Regions from separate parts of the Mus musculus genome. Here regions 1 and 3 are each reported to be linked to region 2. The links are microRNA targets in miRTarBase. Many come from high-throughput screens and were not tested one by one. Region 2 holds a microRNA gene; each other region holds the end of a gene's coding sequence.

The links. Region 2 holds the annotated microRNA mmu-miR-10b-5p (UACCCUGUAGAACCGAAUUUGUG, at 2,109-2,131, opposite strand). A microRNA usually pairs through its seed, bases 2 to 8, with sites in the 3' UTR of a target mRNA and lowers its output. Matches are read on the target gene's strand: a 7mer-m8 pairs with bases 2 to 8, a 7mer-A1 pairs with bases 2 to 7 and ends in A, and an 8mer does both.
Region 1: miRTarBase lists Acer1 as a target of mmu-miR-10b-5p. Seed matches in the 3' UTR shown: 8mer at 782-789, 7mer-A1 at 805-811 and 7mer-m8 at 1,875-1,881.
Region 3: miRTarBase lists Gpr68 as a target of mmu-miR-10b-5p. Seed matches in the 3' UTR shown: 7mer-m8 at 1,889-1,895.

Annotation. Positions count from the first base shown.
Region 1 is chr17:56,948,629-56,955,723 of GRCm38, reverse strand. It overlaps Acer1 (alkaline ceramidase 1), which reads left to right. Exons shown (of 6, transcript NM_175731.4): 5 at 91-228; 6 at 477-2,234. The coding sequence ends at 645. Among named protein-coding and RNA genes, the nearest start is that of Mllt1, 17 kb to the right of the region's middle.
Region 2 is chr2:74,721,087-74,728,204 of GRCm38, reverse strand. It overlaps Mir10b (microRNA 10b), which reads right to left and starts at 2,135; the gene lies at 2,068-2,135. All of the region lies in intron 1 of Hoxd3 (homeobox D3), which reads right to left. It overlaps Hoxd4 (homeobox D4), which reads right to left and starts at 6,227. Exons shown (of 6, transcript NM_010469.2): 1 at 6,028-6,227; 2 at 5,574-5,652; 3 at 4,838-4,873; 4 at 2,227-2,742; 5 at 500-1,329. The coding sequence starts at 926.
Region 3 is chr12:100,872,246-100,879,340 of GRCm38, reverse strand. It overlaps Gpr68 (G protein-coupled receptor 68), which reads left to right. Exons shown (of 3, transcript NM_001177674.2): 3 at 1-2,659. The coding sequence starts at 58. The coding sequence ends at 1,155. It overlaps Dglucy (D-glutamate cyclase), which reads right to left. Exons shown (of 13, transcript NM_145448.5): 13 at 6,731-7,095. Among named protein-coding and RNA genes, the nearest start is that of Gm36572, 18 kb to the left of the region's middle.

The sequences.
Region 1 (7,095 bases), not on the chromosome of region 2:
TCCAACCATCAATCCACCTGTCCATCTGTCTGTCTGTCCATCCAGCAGCTCACCACCCACCCCCAGCCCAGGCTCTCTCTTTGTCCCCAGGATTAGGGATGATGATCTTCGGCATCTGATTGCGGTTTCTGTGGTCTTATGGGCCGCTGCACTGACCAGCTGGATCAGTGACCGTGTACTTTGCAGCTTCTGGCAGCGGATTCACTTCTACTACCTGCACAGCATTTGGTAAAATACCCCTCTTGGATCCCAAGAACCCAAGTCAGAGTTCAGATGCACTCCAAGTAGAGAAGTGTCTGGGGTGCAAGAGTGGGAGAGGGACAAGATCCAGACCCTGGGATATAGAGGTGGTAGGGAGAGGTTACAACTGGCTGCCTGGATCTAAAGAGCCAAGTTAGCATCTGTGAGAACCTAAGAAGACTGGGTAGAGCTGGGGGCATCTCTCGATTTCTTACCCTGCCCTCTCTTAACCACAGGCACGTCCTCATAAGCATCACATTTCCTTATGGTATCGTGACCATGGCCCTGGTGGATGCAAAGTATGAGATGCCAGATAAAACCCTCAAAGTCCACTACTGGCCCCGGGACAGCTGGGTCATCGGGCTACCCTATGTGGAGATCCAGGAGAATGACAAGAACTGCTGAGCTCTGCTGTAGTCTCTGCTCTCTGGCCAGCCACCGAGTCTCCTGTGTACTGAGGATACAGGGCAGGACAAGGCTTTCAGTGGGCACACTTGCAGCACCCATCCCCCGGCCCATGCTCCTTGCCCTGCTCGTCAGCACAGGGTAGATTTACTTGTGGCTCAGGGTACTAGTTTGGTGACTGAGGGACAGGGGCTGCCTGGTGTGTGGGATGACTGGCCTGTGTCCACCTATGAGACCACAGCTTCTTCATGGCCACGGATGTGGTGAACAGATGGGTGTGTGGCTGATACAGCACCTGCCTGAAGCATAATGCTTGCTCTCTGTCAGCTCGCACATCTGGGACTGTTTATGAGTGTTATAGATTCAACTGGATCATGACTGTATTCTGGGAAACTGGGGAGTATCCAAAGAACATTCCAGGCCCCACCACCTACAGATAGATATTCGTATAGAGACCTCTTTGAACCACCACATGCACTCAGGGCAAAGTGTTGAACATGAGAGCCATGAATGAGGATAATAGAGGGCTAACCTGGGCAACATCATGGGGCACTTAGAGGATAGGGTATTGGGGAAAGGGTCTCCGTGATGGCTAAGGACACAGAGTTAGACATGCCAAAGCTTGATTTTCTGCTCCACAGTATTCAGCTTGCATAGCCCTGAGGGATGTGATGTTTCAAATGCTGTTTGTAAATAAAATGTCATTCCCTCCTGGGACTTCTGTTGATTAAAATTAGGTCACGTGTGAAGTATTTGGAATAGCCTTGAAAATATCCACCCACCCACTTATCAACCATTCACCATTTTAACAACCTATCCATCAACCCACCCATCCATTCATCCACCTGTCCATCCATCCATTCACCCGTCCATCCATCCATCCATCCATCCATCCATCCATCCATCCATCCACCCACCTTCTCTCCCTCTCTCTTTCCCCTCCTTCTTCCATCTACCTCCCTCCTTATATCCATCCATTCATTCCACCTCCCCCTTAATCCACCTACACAAATTAAAATTGCAAGTGTGGGTTGCTCAGATGGCTCTGATGGCTTGCAGTTCAATATGATGACCTGAATCTGAACCCCAGAATTTGCATGAGAAAGAGAATAGAAGGCAACTCCTACACATTGTCTTCTGACCTGCACACACATGCAGTAGCACACACAGTGTGGCAGGTGCATAGACCAAAGTTTGTTTGTTTGGTTGGTTGGTTTTGGTTTTTCGAGACAGGGTTTCTCTGTATAGCTCTGGCTGTCCTGGAACTCACTTTGTAGACCAGGCTGGCCTTGAACTCAGAAATCTGCCTGCCTCTGCCTCTCAAGTGCTGGGATTAAAGGCGTGTGCCACCACGCTCGGCAGACAAAGGTTTTTAACATGTAAAAAAATGCAAGTAAGGAGCTGGAGGCTCAGCAATTAAGAGCACTGGCAGCTCTTGTAGAGGACCCAGGTTTGAGTCCCAGAACTCATGTGGCAGTCCCAGGAGATCCAACCTCCTCTCCTGGCATCTATGGGTCCTCACAGACATGGTTCTCAGATACACATTCAGGCAAACATTCACATACATAAAATAAAATAACCCACAAATGAAGTATCCTGATCTTATTTTCAGTTCACTCCTCCTTACAAGATGCCACTCTCTTTGCCTGACAGCAGACATAGAGTCCCCTACCCACCCTCTGGCAGTGGTGACAGATGCTAACTGCACGAGCACTCAGAGACATTGATATATGGTCCGAAGAAGACATTGTTGGAAGGGCTAGTGTACAGGGTGACATAGGGGAGAAGCTTCCCTCGAAAATGGCAAGATGGGTGTGCCCTTCTTGGAAACAGTGAGTCCTCCAGTTCCTTGGCTGCATGGGACAACGGAAGAAAGACAGGCTAGCTGTCGCTGCCTGGGGCGGGATCTGAAGCAACAGGGAAGGGGTTTCACAGCTTGTCCGGGAAAGGAGGACACGAGGCAGTAGGTGTCTCTGTTCCAAGTTTAAAGACAGGGCGTTTCTGTTTAGCCCAGGCTGTCCCAGACCTCTCAGTCTTCCAGCCTCAACTTCCTGGGTACTGAGGTGACAAGCATGCTTTACCTTGCCTGGCCACTCACAGGTGGGTAGCATTCTACATCTCCATGTGATTGTGACATGTGTCACAATTTGTCTGGGCATGTCATCTAGCCCCCTGCATGAAGCACTTCAAACACACAAGAATACTTTCCTATCATAGATAAGGCTCAGAGGAGGTAAATGATTTACCCAAGAACACACAGCCTGGGCTTTGCGTCAGACCTATCCTTCCTGAGAGCTCTTTGGACCCCTTGAGGGGGGTGGAACCTGGGCCTCCTAGGTCCCTTCTGTCTATTTTCTTTCTTTCTTTCTTTCTTTCTTTCTTTCTTTCTTTCTTTCTTTCTTTCTCTCTTTCCTTCTTTCTTTCTTTCAAGATTTATTTATTTATTCTATATGAGTACACCTTAGCTGTCATTAGACACACCAAAAGAGGTCATCAGATCTCATTACAGGTGGTTGTGAGCCATCATGTGGTTGCTGGGATTTGAACTCGGGACCTCTGGAAGAGCAGTCAGTGCTCTTAACCACTGAACCATCTCTCCAGCTCCCTTCTGTCTATTTTCAAACCTAGATATTCTTCAGCTGTGTCCCCTGGATGGGTTCCAGTATTAAGAGATGGTGGTGGTACTGTGAACGTATGATTTTTTTGTTTTTGTTTGTTTGTTTTTGAAACAGGGGCTCTCTGTGTAGCATTGGCTGTCCTGGAACTCTCTCTGTAAACTAGGCTGGCCCCAAACTCACAGTGATCTACCTGCCTCAGCCTTCCCAGTGCTGGGATTAAAGGAATGTGCTATCGCTGCCAGCAAACTTGGGCCTGAGGGAAAGACGTCGTGTTTGATCCCCTAAAGTTAAGAATCTCACTCAAAGAGCTTCTGAGGTAGGGGATGTGAGGAACACCTGTACTGATGGTTCTATTTGTCTTTTCCCCACATACAATGTTCCTCTGCTATGAAATCGAAGGTTATCCCAGCACTCAGGAGACTGAGGCAGGAGGATCAGGAGTTCAAGGTCACACTCAGATACACAGTGAGTTCATAGCCAGCCTGGGCTACAGGAGCCTGTCTCAAAAAAAGGAAAGAAAGAAAGAAAGAAAGAAAGAAAGAAAGAAAGAAAGAAAGAAAGAAAGAAAGAAAGAAAGAAAGAAAGATGGAAGGAAGGAAGGACAAAAGGAAGGAAAAGAAGGAAGGAAGAAGAAAAGAGAGAAAGAAAGAAAAAAATAGAAATATCACCATGAAGCCATACATGCCTGACCAGGTGTGACCTGGGAGGCTGAGGCAATAGCCTAGGCTGGCCCAGAACTCACTATGTAGCACAGGCTAGCCTCAAAATTACAGCACCCTTTTTTTTTTTTTTTTTTTTTGAGACAGGGTTTCTCTGTGTAGCCCTGGCTCTCCTGGAACTCACTCTGTAGACCAGGCTGGCCTCGAACTCAGAAACCTGCCTGCCTCTGCCCCCCAAGTGCAGGGATTAAAGGCTTGTGCCACCACTGCCCAGCCACCCTTCTATCCTAACTTCTAGGGTTCTAGATGAATAGTCATGATTTACTATACACCACTTTTATTTATTTATTTATTTATTTATTCATTTTGCAAAACCATCTATAGCTCTTATGCAGAGGAATGTCCCAGTGAGCTCAGCATCAGGGTTAACCTGGGCCAGGTCTCTCATAGTGGGCCACTGGGCTCTTCTCCAGCTAGATCACACGTTCTCAGCATCAAAGGACCCTGTGGACATTTGTGACAGTCGGAAAACTGAGAGACACAAGAATACACTGGAGATCAGAAAGCAGGGTCTCAAAAATTCTCCTGAAGGACCATCTACAAGGTCAAATAAAAAAAAATTAAATGTGATAAACGGGGAGTCAGACTCTGAGGTGTGACCAAAAGTGACCAGTAGAGGGCGCTAGCAGCAGGCACATGCAGGGAGTCAGCAGGTCCTGCAGGTTAGTGTCCCAGGCTGGACCTCTAACCAGACTAACCTTTGCATCTAGTTTCACTATTTGGAAATTGGGGGCCATGTGGCAAGAAGATGTTGGACAGATCTGACAGGATTAGTTACATGTACTGGCTAGTTTTGTGTCAACTTGACACAGCTGGAGTTATCACAGAAAAAGGAACTTAAGTTGAGGAAATGCCTCCATGAGATCCAACTGTAAGGCATTTTCTCAGTTAGTAATCAAGGGGGAAAGACCCCTTGTGGGTGGGACCATCTCTGGGCTGGTAGTCTCCGTTCTATAAGAGAGCAGGCTGAGCAAGCCAGGGGAAGCAAGCCAGTAAAGAACATCCCTCCATGGCCTCTGCATCAGCTCCTGATCCCTGACCTGCTTGAGTTCCAGTCCTAACTTCTTTCAGTGATGAACAGTAATGTGGAAATGTAAGCTGAATAAACCCTTTCCTCCCCAACTGCTTCTTGGTCATGATGTTTGTGCAGGAATAGAAACCCTGACTAAGACATTACACCTGCACCAAACCCTCAAATGGCCTTTTGCTCTTCTGTCTCCTCCTCCCTATCTCTCTCTCCTCTCCTCCACTCCCCCTTTCCATCTTTCCTTCCTTCTGTTTGAAACAGGGTTTCAGGCTGTCCCTAAACTCTCCATGTAGCTGAGGATTACTTTGAACTCCTGATCTGGATGGCTCAACTCTTAGTTTTAGTATAGGAGGTCTGTTTCCTTGGGCCTGGCATGTTATGGGCTTCTTTTATCAAAGCATGTGGGTTACTTACACACACATACAACACACCACAGAATAACAGGTAAGCCATGTGGTGGTGATGTACCCTCTGATCTCAGCACTCCGGAGGCAAAGGCAAGTAGATCTCTATGAGTTTCAGGCTGTCCTGGGCTATACAGAGAATCCCTGTCTCATAAAAAAAAAGAATGATTTATTTATCTATCTTTTTTGTTTGTTTTTGATTTTTCAGAAGAAGAAGTTTCTTTGTGTAGCCTTGACTGTCTTGGAACTAACTCTCTTTGTAGACCAGGCTAGTCTTAAACTCAAAGATCTGCCGCCCTTTGCCTCCTGAGTGCTAGGGTTAAAGGTATGTGCCATCATGACTCATTTACTTATTAGTGTGTGTGTGTGTGTGTGTGTGTGTGTGTGTGTCCCACATGCATGCAAGTGTCATGGAAGCCAAAGAGGGTGTCAGATCCTGTGGAGGCTTTGACTGAGAATGGTTCCAGTGGGATCATCGTTTGAATTCTTGGTCTCCAGTTGGTAGATTGGGAAGGATTAGGAGGCATACTCGTGTTGAAAGAGGTGTGTTGTGGTGAGAATGTTGTTTTCTTTTAACAACGTGGAAATATAAAAATGGATTCATTTTAATCCCAGGTGTGGGATATGGGGTCACTTTAGATTGTCCACAGAAGCTGACTATGATTTGCCTCGTGCTCTAGCAAGGGCATGAATTTGCCATCTGCAGATAGTTTTTGCAAGTGTGTGACACTTGGAGTTCTGGGGATTGTTTGGCCAGTTGGTAGTTGGTTGTGGTTTGTTAAGTAGTGAAGAAACAAGAAGTATTAGATATTCTGACAACAAAGATCAAACTTGCCCCAAGGAACTTGACTCCCCTAATCAGCAGGAAGTAGTCTATAGATATCATCACCTTTCCCCACCTCTACCTTCTTTTTTCTCCTACCTAGCTTTAGGAGGTTGAAAGGGTGGAAGAAGAGGAGTAGTGAAGAATGTGGGGCACATGGACCATGCTACAAAAGGAACGGACGTGGTAAGGCAGAGCATGCTCAAATCTCAGAAATCTCAAAACTGGGACCGGCAAGAGTAGAACTAGCTCCCTGCCTGTTTTTGTGCTTGCCACAAAGCATGTAACCCAATGGCCCCCAACCAGGCAGTCACAGGTAAACAGCGGTGTAACCCAGGACCTGGACTGTCTCCCCATGCTAGTGAGCTATCTCAGTACCCAAGCTTTTAGGCAACGACATTTCCCTCCCTGGATATTCCCATACCCTCCACAAAATATATAACCCTTGGGTCCCTTCTGTAAAGAAAATGTATGCGTTCAGTACCACTCCTGAATAGAAAAATTCAAACAAGATAAGATTGTTTCTGAGAGCTGCTTCATTAAAGATCTTCAGAGAAGGCCTTCTGGAGGGAGGGGGCAGTCCCAACCAGAAAGGGATCCTGAAGTGGAAATTTAAAGGTTCTTTGGAAAGTCAGTTGTGTTGGATGGTGTTTTGCTGGGGCAGACAAGTGAAGTAATATTTCCCTGAAGCAGACACAGGTGAAAGGATATTTAGCTAAGCAAACACGTGAAAGGACACATGATATTAAGAAGGAACATAAATATAACCCGACAGATGGTGATGATGCTGGATGGTGTGGTACACCTTGCCATTCCTCATTGGTCATCGTTTGTTGAGACTCCAAAGAAAGAAATGCAC
Region 2 (7,118 bases):
AGGCTTGCCTCTGCCCTCACTTCCTGGCGCGTCTCGCAGCCCTCGGGCCCCCCCTGTGCTCCAAGCTGGCCAGCTTCCTCCCTCCCGCCCTCTCCCTAAACATACACACACTCCCACCCAAGCCCTTCCATGCACACACTCCCCACGCTCACAGGTCCTCCTCAAAGGTTCTCCCTTGCCACTGGCCCACCAAGAGCTCGGTATCGCCAACATTTTGGAAAGGTCCTTGTTTTGCTCTGCGTTCCCTCTGCTGTGGAAATGGAGTCCTCCCCCCACCCCATCCCCATCCCCACCCCCTTTTGCGCCCACAGCCAAGCAGCCAGCCACATGGTCCCGGCCTGCTCCCTCAGCTATAAAAATTTATGGAGAGAGTAATTGCGGCGCCCAAGGAAGCTGCACAAGCCCCTACCCATTCGCAACCCCTGGGGTGGGGGGTGCAGGCCAAAAGATGCAAGGAGTGGTGCGGGAGGGCTGTGAGGTCGCTGCCCCCACTCCTTACCCGAATTCACGTGCACCTTCTTCATCCAAGGGTAGACCACAGCGGGCTGCTTGAGTGCTGTCCCGGGGGGCGGCTGCTTGGGGCCGGTGGGCTGGCTGCAGGCCCGAGCGCCAGGCAGGGGCGCAGGCGGGGGCGCTGGGCACCGCTCTCCCGGGGCACCGTAATGACTTCCCGGGCCGCTCGGCTCCTGTCCGTGACCCCTCGCGGGCAGCGCTGAGCCAGGCCCGGGCCCGCCGCCTCCGAAGGGTTGCTCGCCGAAGTCGGGCCGTGGGTAGAGCCCCGAGGGCTGGAAGTCGGCGCCCTGTGCACCGCTGCCGTAGTAGTCGGCTCCCTGCTCGCCTAGGTAGCCACCCTGCAAATATTCCTCGCACGGAGGAAACTTGGGGTCCACGTACTTAGAGTTCACCATATACGAACTCATGGCCATTAATTTCAGAAGGTAGAAAATACTAATTTTTCTCGTGTTGTCTTTTTTCTCCTTCCATTGGGCCCTCCTACTTGCTGTCAACTGAATAAAGTTGGGCGGCCATGTGACCAGGCCAGCCAATAGGAAGAAAGCATGTTTATCACCGGGTTGGTGAGCATCTCATAATTTTCACAAATTTAACTAAATAACATACGTGTAATCAAGTGACTTGCCATGCCACATTTGAGAGTCCCTGACAGATGCTAATAGAGTTCTAATTCTATCCCCGGGGTCCCAATTTCCGGCAGGTAATCTCGGCTTTTGTCTTCCACTGACTTTGCTAACCTCCCATGCCCTCCTTACTCACCATCGCCTGAAGCAGCCCCCAGAATGGACATAGTTCAAAGAAGAGTGAATTCTCCTACTGGGGTGCAAAATAAGGAAGAATGAGTGTGGGCAATGTGGCCTCCGAGTTGGGTAGAGTCCTAGGCAGGCAGGCAGGCTGCCCGGCCAGCTGGCAGGAGTCCTGGACTCTGACATACAAAGACCTGTCTTGGCTTTGTCTTCATCAGGGTCACCCAAAAGTTACCAGAATCTGGCGGACCTGAATTGAGTTAGGCAATGAGTAACCACTATGCTTTTCTGCCAATGCGCAGGCTGGGGTGTTTCTAGTTGAAGTTGGATCTTTCTGCAGGAGGCCCTCACAGTTCTGAGTCTGGTGGCTGAGGGGTTGGGTCATATTGGGATGGTGGGGAGGGGGACCTTAACCTTGCCTAAATGTACCCCAACGGTCTCCGATGGCCTATCTTTCAGTTTGTCTTCTTCCCACACAAGGGCAGGTGAGCCCCATTTGGGTACCTTTGTGTCTCATGCTCCTTCAGAGCAGGGCTTCTGCTGGAGCTTTCTGGCCTTTCACCTCACTCTCTAATACCCTAAAACCTGGCTCTCTGGCTTTACACTCAGACAACCACTTGAGCACCTACTGGAATATCTATAGGAGTTTCTCCAGGAAAAGGCTGTACAATTTCACCAGGCAAAGTCGATCATCCTGGAGTCTAAGGTAATGAAAAAGAAAGAGGTGGCTTGCCGGCTGGGCTGCCAGTACTCTCCGCGCCTCAGTCTCTGGCCATGTCGGAGATATATGAAGTTTTTGCATCGACCATATATTCCCCTAGAATCGAATCTGTGACTATGTGGGTACCACACAAATTCGGTTCTACAGGGTATATATAGACAACGTTACAACCTCGGGTCCTACCCAGAGCAGACATTCAGGCAGCTGCCAGACCTGATCTCTTCAGCACAGCCACCAGGAACTCACCAAGCCTGGCTTTCAGAGATGGTGCAGGTAGGCTCGGTGCATTTCTAAGTATTGCTGCTCGCTACAGCAATGAGTTCCCTCATCGGCTTGCCAGGATGGGGGCCACCAAGTAGCTGAGCAGCCAGGACCTTCTTCTTCTTAAAAAAAAAAAAAAGAAAAGAAAAGAAGGGGAGTTTTTTTTTCACCCCAGAGATGGCGGCTTAATTGCCCCTTCTCAGAACCCAAATCTCCCGCCCCCTTATCAAGTGGTATTTCCCAAAAAGAAGCAAAGGCCCTCAGCAGCAGAAAGGGAGTTTTGAAAAAGGCAAAAGGAATAGTCTTCACCAGAACCTAAGCCAAGTGAGTGGTCACAGCTAGTCCTCCTAGAATTCGAGCATTTACCTTTCTGGGCCCTCAGCCCCGCCGGACTTTCGGATCCCGCTGCTGCTGCTTCTGCTGCTGCTATGACTGCTGCTGCAGACCCGGAGGCAGGCGCTGTTTGCGGCCACCGAGCCTCCCTGGGCTGAGACTGTCGAGCTAATGGTGAAGGGCAGGGCGAGGGGTCATTCGAAATCATTTACAAACATATCACAAAGTTTCATTATTTTTGCTTTGCCGACAGCAGCACAGAAGAGTACAAAAGTTCGCGAATTTCGCCGCCCCAGCGCCTCCGCTGTCCTGGGCTTGCCCCTCAATTCAGGGCATCAAGAGCCCAGATGCACTCTGGGGCTGGGCTGATTTCAGGGGCAGAGGGATGCCCTGGCCTGGGCCGAGCTTATGGATGCCTGATAACAGATTGAAGATGTCCACATTTCTAAGTATTGTTTTGATCCCTTCCTATATAATTCGAAAAATCACTTTCAAGCCCCATGCCTTGATTTTGATGGGGTGGGGCAGGGAGACTCCCCTCATCATATCTGGCAAAATTAGGTGCTCACTTTGACCCTGTACTTTGCCCTTCCATGCCCTCCCACCATCTTTCACTTCCACTATTTTGCAGGGATTTCCCAGGTGTCAGTTCTAAAAAAAAAAAAGGGGGTTAAAATCCGTTTGTTTAAAGACTCTCCCCAGTTTCTCCTAATGCCAGCCCTTTCACCCATGGACACGTTGACAGGCCTTTCTGGGGACACTGGGCCTACCTCTGTTTTACCCAGACAAATTGGGGAAGTCCGATGGGTTGAGTGAGGACCAAGATGAGTACACACATTTTCATATTTGTTAGACATTGTGACCTGCATTTCACCTTATTGCTCGACTTGTTCAGACAGGTCAAAGCCAACAAGTTATTGATGAACAAAAGCGTTAAATATTCACCTCCCTCTCAACTGCCCATACAAATGCTTTTGATCTCTCCGGCTTTTTGTGCTGTGGGCAGCTACAAGGCGCCAGCAAGCAAGCAGCCTCAGCAGAGATGAGCCCTCACAGCCAAGGGTGCCAAGGAAGAGGGCAGGGGCAAGGCCAGAGAAAGTCTGGGGAGTCCAGATTTTTCACCATGGAGCCTGGTTCACTGTGTGCAGGCCTGGTTCATAGAAGGAACTACAAGCTGTAAAGGTCTTCACTTCCCTGTTAGCTCAGCCTCACCAGGGGCCCAGCAAAGAAACCTGGCCCTGAGCCCAGTCTCAGCTTCTCTGACCAGGAAGGGAAGACATCTCACAAGAGAGGGAGGATGCCTGGTCCCTGTGGTCCTTACCAATCTGCTACTGTTCCATTAAAATTAAACTACCTGTGGTTTGCAGTGAGTGGCAAGCCTCTACTATTTCCTTGACTCTCCTTCTAGTGCCAACCCTTCTAATGACACCCAGAAGATGTCACCAGCATTCTCAGCTTCAAACTTCAGAGCCAAAGAACTGGAGTCCCTGCCTCTGATCCCACCCAATTCCACTGGACTCTGGAGTAGAGTAGAAATTCTTCAACTGCAGCTAAGGAGAAACGGAGGGAAAGAGAAAGTACTCTTTTTGTTCACCGGGTATCCCAAACTGGGACCCACACCAGTGAAGCTAGGACCCAGAAAGGGACAGGAGAGGAATGTCTACATAAGCTCAGAAGTTGTAGCCCTTCCTGGAAACAGGCCAATCCAACACACCCAAGACCATCAAGGGTTATATGTTTGTTTTTGTCTGTAATAAATCAAATTTTAAATTAAAACCTATATACAGCAAGAGAAGGCTGAGATAGACTGGGCAGAGAGAATAATGGCTGGACAGCAGAGAGGGACCCCCGTTGCCTTGGTGTTGATTGGGTCAATTCTAGCAGTTGTGGATGCTGGCCCGCCCGTAGTTCAGTTCGTTGATAGGGTGGGCTGCTAATTAGCTGCAAGTCTGCTGCACCTGTGCGAGCCAGAGAAGCCTGGCAAAGGCCTGTATGGTCCAGAGAGGTCCGGGAAGACAAGGGCGGTCCCCTGCGGTGCGTTTACTTGAGCAGGTGACTGTGAACTAGGTCCCAGAAATACTTCCTAAAGGGTCAGCCTAGAGCTTCCATCCCTCCACGAAGCGAGTCCGTTTTGGCCTGGGGAGGCAGCGCCACTCCGCTACTCCTTAACCCTCCCATCACCGCTGGCGCGGACCTTCCGCCCACCTCCTCCCAGTCTTAGCACTACCCTTTCGTTCCTCGGAAGAAAAGGGAAGGTACTTACAGTGGTTCTCCCTCGTTCTCCCTGACGCTCCAAAACCTGTTGCAATGAAAGTGGGGTCTCTCAAATTTCACAGGACAATAAAGCATCCATAGGCGACATGCAGAACGTGACAAGGCCCAGACATTCCACCAATACCTAGAACTCCTTGCTTCTGGTGACCGCCTTCGGGTACTGCACAAAGTTTTCCTCTGATAGCATCCTCAAAGGCAGAGCTAAGGGCTATGGGAGTCTGTCCTGGTCACCTACCCTACTTCACGCACCCTTGGGCAAAACCCAACCAGTTATACGGCCTGACTCAGACTGCCTGAGGCAGGGTTTCCCCAGGGGGGAAATGGGAAGTCAGAAAATAGGCCTTTGTGCATTTCCTTCTGGTGTGGGAGGGTGGGTGCGAGCCCACTGGTGAGAGCCTGCAGACATTCTATTTGTCCCGACCCCAATTCTGCTCCCTCTGGAAACAGTTCAGACCTCCTTTTCCAGTTTCAGGTTGGTTTTTAATTCCACCCCAGCGTCCAAACCTGCATTCTCCTCAAAGAGGAGGCATGGCAGGCAGGGACATATTTTTTTTTTTCCATGTCTCCAATTCAAAACAGTCATTTCCTTCCGAGGGGAAATGAGAACCCAAAAGATAACCAGAAAGGGAAATTGATGTGTTTAAAGGAAAATGATCTAGATCTTACAGACATGGTCTAAAATATGATCTCATTCTATCTGTTTGACATTAATTTTTTAAACATACCTGCAGGAGAACCTACAGACCGATCAAAGAGAACAGTGGTTCCCAGGGCACTCATGTCCATCTTCAAGTTTTTAGTCTTCTAGGAACAGAAAGAAAAAGAAAAGGGGGGGCAAACCCCGCTCTGAACTACCTCAGAGGTAACTCATCTCCACACCGGTCCCCTCTCCTCCCCACCCCCCATCATTGCTTTCTTCCACTTTTAAAGTTGTTGCTCCACTACTGAGAGGCAAGTGTAAGTCCTGCTTTTGGGGTAGAAGGCCCTCACTTCCCAACGTTCCAGGTATACACAGGAGAGGGAAATGCCAAGACCCCCCATTCAATTTATTAAGTTAGGCTTAGGCTAAAATTAAAATGAACTTCAATAGATAGGCTTTCCCCAAGCAGAGAAGGCTGGGCTCAGACCCCCTGCCCCACAACTCTAGAGTTATTGTGGACAAAGTAATGAGTGACTTACTGGGTTTCTTTTCGTTGGTAGAGAAGCTTAGAGGAGAGCTGTCTCCTGAGCCCGGGGCGCTGGCTGGAGCCTCTCACTTGCCTATCGCTGCTACAGGAACCAAGCATCTGCACTTGTATGCTCTTAACCTAATTTATGGTGGGAATTATATTTTGGCTTGTCAACTCTCAAGCCATAAAACAAAGTTTATTGGAATCACGTGCTTATAAATAGCCACTCAGGTCCCGGCTCTGCAGAACCATAAATAACCTTTGGCTTTAAACTTTTATTCACTAAATAAAGGTTCACTGCAACTGTTCCCTTGGATTTAAATAGTTCCAAATATCCAGAATGCGAGAGAGGTCATATTCATATCAATACCCCGGGCTTTTCAACTTGCATCTTTTCAGAGAAAGCTGTTTAAATTGGGGGATAGTGCTATTTGGACAAGGCTGGTTGGTAGGCTTGTCCTATGACTCTTGGGCTGCATCCACTGTGAGTACCATCACCGCCTTTATTTCAATCATTTTCTAGCATTCGATGTGGTAAGCAGGAAAGACAAAGGCTACTTCTTACTTGCTTATCGCAAAAGTTGGAAATTATTTTTGAGATTTTTTGCTTGATTCAATAGGGAAGAGTGGCCAGGGGAGAGGCTGGGTGGCCTTGGGGGTGGGGAGGCAGCTGGGATTAACACTTAGTGTCCTCTGTATTGTTGTGGATGGGGCTTGGTGAAAGTTGAAGATTGCCACATGCCTAGGGGTTTTTATAATTTGCTCAGATCTGAAAGAGAAGCCTTTGCAAGTGACCAAACTGCTTAAAACAGCAAGACTTGAGGTTTGGTGAAGTGAGAAAGTGGAGAACAGGCCCCACCGGACTCTGGCGAGTAAGGCTCTGAAGAGCCTTAAAGCAATAAAGCAATAAAACAGCCCTGGTGTGAAGGGGCCGGGTGCGTGCGGGGTGTGAGGAAGCACAGGAGGCTCTCAAAGAACCTGAGCCCAGGAAGTCAGATGTGCACAACCCCACTGTGTGCCCAAGTCATTTAGCTCAGTGCTCAAGGGTCCCTGAAGGCCCACATCTGAGTGGGCTCTTCTGTAACTCCTCCCTACTGCTGG
Region 3 (7,095 bases), not on the chromosome of region 2:
AGAGGGATTGGCTCCATCTCCAAGCCCATGAGGAATAAGGCTCCTTCTGGCCCAAAGATGGGGAACATCACTACAGAAAACTCCTCACTATCTTGCCCCATCGACCACACCATCCACCAGACACTAGCCCCAGTGGTCTATGTGACCGTGCTGGTGGTGGGCTTCCCAGCCAACTGCCTGTCCCTCTACTTCGGGTACTTGCAGATCAAGGCCCGGAATGAGCTGGGAGTGTACCTGTGTAACCTGACCATTGCAGACCTGTTCTATATCTGTTCACTTCCCTTCTGGCTGCAGTACGTGCTTCAGCACGACGACTGGTCCCATGGTGACCTATCCTGCCAGGTGTGTGGCATCCTCCTCTATGAGAACATTTACATCAGCGTGGGCTTCCTCTGCTGCATCTCCATCGACCGCTACCTGGCTGTGGCCCACCCCTTCCGCTTCCACCAGTTCCGCACCCTGAAGGCAGCCGTGGGTGTCAGTGTGCTCATCTGGGCCAAGGAGCTGCTGACCAGCATCTACTTCCTCAATCACAAGGAGGTCATTGAGGACGAGGACCAGCACCGAGTCTGCTTTGAGCATTACCCTATCCAGGCCTGGCAGCGTAGCATCAACTACTACCGCTTCCTGGTGGGCTTTCTCTTCCCCATCTGCCTGCTGCTGGCCTCCTACCAGGGCATCCTGCGGGCTGTGCGCCGCAGCCACGGCACACAGAAGAGCCGCAAGGACCAGATTCAGCGGCTGGTGCTCAGCACCGTGGTCATCTTCCTGGCTTGCTTTCTACCCTACCACGTGCTGCTGCTGGTACGCAGCCTCTGGGAGAGAAACTGTGAGTTTGCCAAGAGCATCTTCAACGTCTATCACTTCTCCCTCCTCCTCACCAGCTTCAACTGTGTAGCTGACCCGGTGCTGTACTGCTTTGTCAGTGAGACCACTCACAGGGACCTAGCCCGCCTCCGAGGAGCCTGCCTAGCTGTCCTTACCTGCTCTAGGACAAGCAGGGCCAGGGAGGCCTACCCTCTGGGTGCCCCTGAGGCCTCTGGGAAAAGTGGGGCCCAGGGCGAGGAACCTGAATTGTTAACCAAGCTCCACTCAGCCTTCCAGACCCCTAGCTCACTGGGAGTGGGAGGGCCCTCCACAGTGGGGTTGGCCTAGCTTGAGTCACGTGTATGAGGCTAAGTTAGGCCCTGAGCTTTCACCAACAGGCCTTGTGGTCGGGAGCTTGCATGGTGGCTGTCTCCCACTTTACCATGTACGGGTGCCTCTCTCCTCAGGAAGGAACCATGGTTTGGGCCACAGCCAGGTCCCTCTGGCCCCTGGAAACCTGCTCCGTGTCCTGAGCCTGGGCACTGCTGACTGTGTGAATGAGCCCTGTCTCCTCCCATGTTCTTGGTGGCCGCCTGGGCTGCAGATGGGAGGGAGTCGGCATCGTCACTTCCAGGAGATTTGCAAAGAGCAGCAGGCCTGGGGTGCGGAGAGGAGGGTAGGACCCTGCGTGGTCACCTGCCAAGCCTTCCAGTGCCCCTGTTGTCACAGACGATACCAGCCCAAGTGTGCTATGGTCTTGTGTGACACAGGAAGCTATATAGCCACCATCAGTATTTGAGCTTGCCTCTAAACTAGTCTAGGCCAGAGGACTGGTTAAGGTGAAGAACAGGGGCGGGGTTGGTGGCTAGGGATAACAGCAGAGAGGCAGTCAGGGAAGAAACCCCAGCATCAGGCACGTCTCACTTTACAGAACTTATGGAACAGGGCCCCACCCCCAAGGGCTGATGGCAAAGAAACCCCAGGGATGCCGGAGAGATGTCAGGGGCCCTCAAAACATCGTACTAAAGCTTAATAAGAAGACTTAGGCCTAAAACTGCGTCCTTAGCCAAGTTCCTGGCACACAGGGTTTCTCTGTGTAGCCCTGGCTGTCTTGGAACTCACTCTGTAGACCAGGCTGGCTTCGAACTCAGAAATCCGCCTGCCTCTGCCTCCCAAGTGTTAGGATTAAAGGCGTGCGCCACCACTGCCCAGCCCTAATTAGCTTTTTGTGTCCGTCTAGTCTAAGTGTCAGACCTGAGAGCCTAAGGGAGAAGAAAGAGGGAGAATATAAAAAAAATGGCAGGGTGTCCATGGCAACTGTATGCCAAGACATTGATACTAACTAGGATCATGTATCTGTTGTCAGTAATTCCTACCCTTCTCCCCATGCACCATAGAGCATCCAGCAGCTTTTGAGAGGAGTGTGACAGTGACAGTTTCCCAGAGTTCCTAAGTGCAATGAACTAACCACACACACACACACACACACACACACACACAATCATGTCTCGTGACCACAGGTTTGGCTTAAGCTGCATTTTGGTATAGGAGAGTTGGCAGAGATGGCTGCATGCCAGAAAGACCTACACCTTCCCCAGCCTCGGTCCTTACAGGCCAATGGTGATAGCTAAGTGTTCTGTGCCTCCTCATCCCACAGTATTTCCCCTGTTTGACCTGAAATTCTGGATTCTCACTGGCTTGGACTGGAGCAAGCTAAGCCCAGCTCCCCTTACTAAGGAGTGCTGTATTTTTGTATTGTTTTCTCTCTTATGCCAAGTATCCCTGTGTTGGACTGTGAGGTGGGTTTATGTAGTGACTTCAGTCAGCAAATAAAACAAAGTAGCCAATCATAGCAGAGTGTGTGCAGTCCTTATAGGCAGAGACTCCACCCACACCAGGAAGATCAGGTGTGTCCTTGAAAGACCCCAAATAGAAAGATCCAAGGGCAAGATGGGGGTTGCATTTGAGTGCCTAACAAGTGGTTAAGCCCAAGCCACAAGGACAGTAGAGTTTTCTCTTCTGCCTCATGGCAAAGCCCATGAATCCGTGCAGCATGGCAAAGCCCATACATCCATGCAGCATGTTGCAAAGCTACCCTGGATGCATCTGTGCAGGTGGTGTTGTAGATTCACCCTGGGACTTTTAAGGACAACACCCAGCCCTGTGGTTTAGCGAACAAGACTCCCTCTGTCTTTGACCACATGGGACTCTGCATATTGAGTATCTCCCCAACCCCGACCCCCCCTGACCCCTCCCCCCCCCCCCCCGCAAGGGTGAGCCCCCATCAGACCAGAAGAAGAGCCTGTTTCACTCATCTCTGGCATTTCCCCAGAACCAACTGGTTTTGCTTGCAGCCGCCCACCTTGCTTGTTGACAACCTCTGTCTGCCGGGGCATCCTCTCACCAGCATCAGACTCCGTGTTTATCACTAAGGATCGCCCACATCCTATTGAAGCATAAATTTGATTTTGACCACTTAATCCCTCTATGGATCAGGCTCCTGGAGTTTTGGAGTGTTATGGAAGAATAGCTCTTTCTTCCAAACAGACTAAGCAAGAATATTATTAAGGATTAATCCTGCTTTCTCTCCTAAGAGAAGGACTGGGAGCAAACGTCCATCTGGTTTGGACTGAAGGTGACAGAAGCCATTAAAATTCCTTTTTTACTCCCCAGTGTTGCTTAGTAATACAAGGACTCATCTTCCTGTTTACACAGGACTGTGGGTTGGCCCGAAGAGAGTAGGAGAGAGCCTCAGCACAGAGCACATCTCCATCTGCTGCTTCCCACCAGCTTGTGTTCTAGAGAAAGCCAGAAGCTGAACCAACTGCTTTATGCATCTAGGGATGGAGTCTCCATTCCTGGAATTCATCTGGTCTCAGTGTCCAGGGCTCTGGTGGGAATGGGAAGATCTCAATTCCATTCTCTCTCAGTTAGCAGCTATCTTAGGAATACCACTCTATGAGATATTCGCTGTCTGTGCTGGAGTATTCCAGAGAGGTCACAATACCCAAACTCCTCACTGCAAAGAACCTTGTCTGGGTCCCTCAGTCCAGTCTCTCCACAGACACTAGTAGTGGCAACTAAGTCACTACTGTGCAGACAAGCCATTCCAGGGGTATCTTAAATTCTAAGCACCCCAATGAAGAATCACTTTATTATCTGCTGTCTCTGATGTGATGTAACCCTCTGGGGACTGTTGTTTGAAGACACTTCTCAATGATAATTCTTCCAACTCAGATTAGCAAAACTGGATTCAATTAGAGCAACAAGCAAGTCACATCACAATGCTGTAAAACAAGGGGGGGGGGCAAGGGAATATCTCATGGTTAGCCCGGGGGTCAATCCCTAGCCCCAAATCATAGTGAAAATGACAAACATAAGTGGCTGATACACGTTTATTTTACGTTTCTAAGATGTCCAATGAAAAGGGTCTAAGATGAAGGCTTAATTGGGAAAGTGCTTTCTGTGTAAGCATGGAAATTGAGTTCAATTTCTAGAACCCACATTTGAAAAAATAAAGAAAGCCAACACTCAGGAGACAGAGGCAGATGAATCTTTGTGAGTTTGAGGCCAACCTGGTCTACATAGTAATTCCAGGATAGTCAGAGCTACATAGTGAGTCTCAAATAACAACAAACTAAAAAACACCCCTCAAAAACAAACAACAACAACAAAAACCCAGCCAGGCTCTGATGCTTATGCCTGTAATGCCAGGTCTGGAGAGGTAGAGACAGATCCCGGGGGGGTTCCAGCCAGCCTGTCTAACTGAATCAGTGAGCTCCAGGTGCAGAGAAAGACCCTTGCTCAAAAAAGGAAGCAGAGAACCATTAGGGGAGGCATTCAGTGCCAATTTCTGCTCTCTATACTTGCGCGTCCGTACCCACACTTAAACATGCACACACACACACACACACACACACACACACACACACACACACACACACACAGAGTTTGGAAAGTGATGACAGCAATTCAAAATCCTCCTGCGGATCAATTCTGTTACTGTAAAGAATGGTTGAGACGCTCCACTCTCTCGTCCCTGAAGAGCTAATTCAGCTGCCAAGTTCAGGAAGATGGGACCTCTCCTAGGAAGATGTGCCCATCTTAACCCTTGCTAAAAAGATGACCACAAAATTATCCATTTACTGAAATACCATACTTTATCCTTCCTATAATTCCTGTCTCATAGCACCGTCTGTAAGAGCAGCCCTGAGGTTCAACTGGCTCCGCCCACCCTTCTGTGTCCTGTCTCAGAAAGAGACAACTTTCCCGTTCTCCTTTTTTTCCCTCTCTCTTTCTTGCAGATGCTGACCAGAACCTAAGCACTTCTCTCCTGGTACTTTTGGCTTCGTCCTTACTCATTTTCCCCTTGTCTTGTCCATTTTCCCCTCTGGGCGCCTGCTGAGATTTACAGATGTCCTGCCATGGAGTTTCCTTTTAAGCTCCTATCATCCTCAGGCTCCCATTTGAGTCCATTCTTAAATTACTTTATCAATAAGACTAAGAACCCTAAGAAGGAACTCCAATTTCCCAGGCATCATCTGGCCATCATAAAGTGACACCCCAGGATTTTCCAGTAGCAGTTCCATAATCATGGGATTCCCCCTGTCCATCTACAAAGGTAGGAGAAGTGTAAAAAGAATGCCACATGCAATTATGGCCCAGGGTGGAAGTGTTTGATAGCCTCATTACTCATACTCTATTAACCTGACCCTGGTCACGTGGGCCCCAGCTACAAGAGAGGCTGGGAAATGTAGTTTTTCTGCGTAACAAGACAAGGAAAGGTGAAATTGGTGAATATCTGGCCAATCTGACTGACAGTTCAAATCACCTCTACTTAGCCCTTAACCTGCCATCCAATCCCAACAAAATCTGCTTCTACAAATGTGACACCTGGATCAGAACCTACATAATGTCGTCTACCTTGCCCTAAGGACCACATTCCTCTGCTTCTATACTTCCGGGAAGCACATCACATCATGAATGTAGAGAACATACAATTTGCTAATAAGCCAAGCATTCTCCGTCCTGCATAGAGAGCAATGAACTTCAAGAAGAAGCCAGCAGACGCCATGTATAATGGTCAGGAAGTAGCAGATACAATGGGCTGGGCCAACTTGGGGGTGGCAGACAGTGGGAAGCAAGAGGTGACCTCAGAGGGATACCTTTCCTAGCTGAGCAACAGAATGTCAGTTGTGCCCAGGACATCCAGGGATAAGGAGCTGGCACCCTTGTACAGAGCATGCTACCTCAGTAAGCCAGGCCACCAGCTTGCCTATGAGTACCGACTGTATGTCATATGTACTATATCCTAGGATCTCTCTCCACAGCATCCTGAAAAGCCCACAGATTCCATTTGCCCAGCAATGGCTAGAACCAAGCTAGCTCTCACCCTGGGTAAACCACAGTTCCCCTGCAGGCCATCTCTTGTTCTTGTCACTGACTTCTGGAGGTGGTAGCCACCACAGACATGAACACAGACATTTCTCCTGAGAACAGACAAGGCTAGAACAAGGTTTGAGTGGGAATCACAATGTGAAGTGGAAAGTTTTAAAACCGGGTCCTGGAAGGCAGAGCACCAGCAGCCCCTGGGATGGATGCCCAGGAAGGGGTCCCCTCTACTCCTTTGTACCTTAGCCTCAGCGTAAGCTGAGAACCTGCCTTCAGAACCTGCCTTCTCTGAACTTAACGGGGTCTTAGCCTTTTTCTTAAATGGCTCAGCCATCTCCCCATACATTTCTTCCCACTGCAAGCATAACTTGTAACACTGTTACTCCTCAGCTTGTTCAATGCTGAAGTAGAATCCTGCTATTACTATGCCAAAAGCCAAATCTATGAATATCTCCTTTGAAACATGAATCATAAGATTGTTGGCAGCTTTTCCACGATGTCAATAGTATTGTAGTCATCTATTTTTTTTTTTAATTGTCAGGATATCCTCTTTATCAGAGTTCCTGGTGTGGAATTTGTACTGAACAAAAATGATAACTCAAAGAGACCTGGGCCGTGAGGCTTCCAAGCCAAGGTGTATTTGCTGAGTTGTGAGGTCTTGGGTGGAGGACTGGCCCCATTTTTAGTGTCTTCCACAGAACAAGCATGGACCCTGAAAGTGTGAACCCTGCAGGTGTGAATCCTGGCCAGAATAGCAAATAGCAGACACTGGAGGTTCATACTAAAGATTTTCTCTTTACACTTATATTTTATTGGAGTGTAAAATCCATACCATGTGTTCCTTTTTCACAATGAAGGCCCCTTAAAGAACCATACCAGACACACATGTGTAAAGAC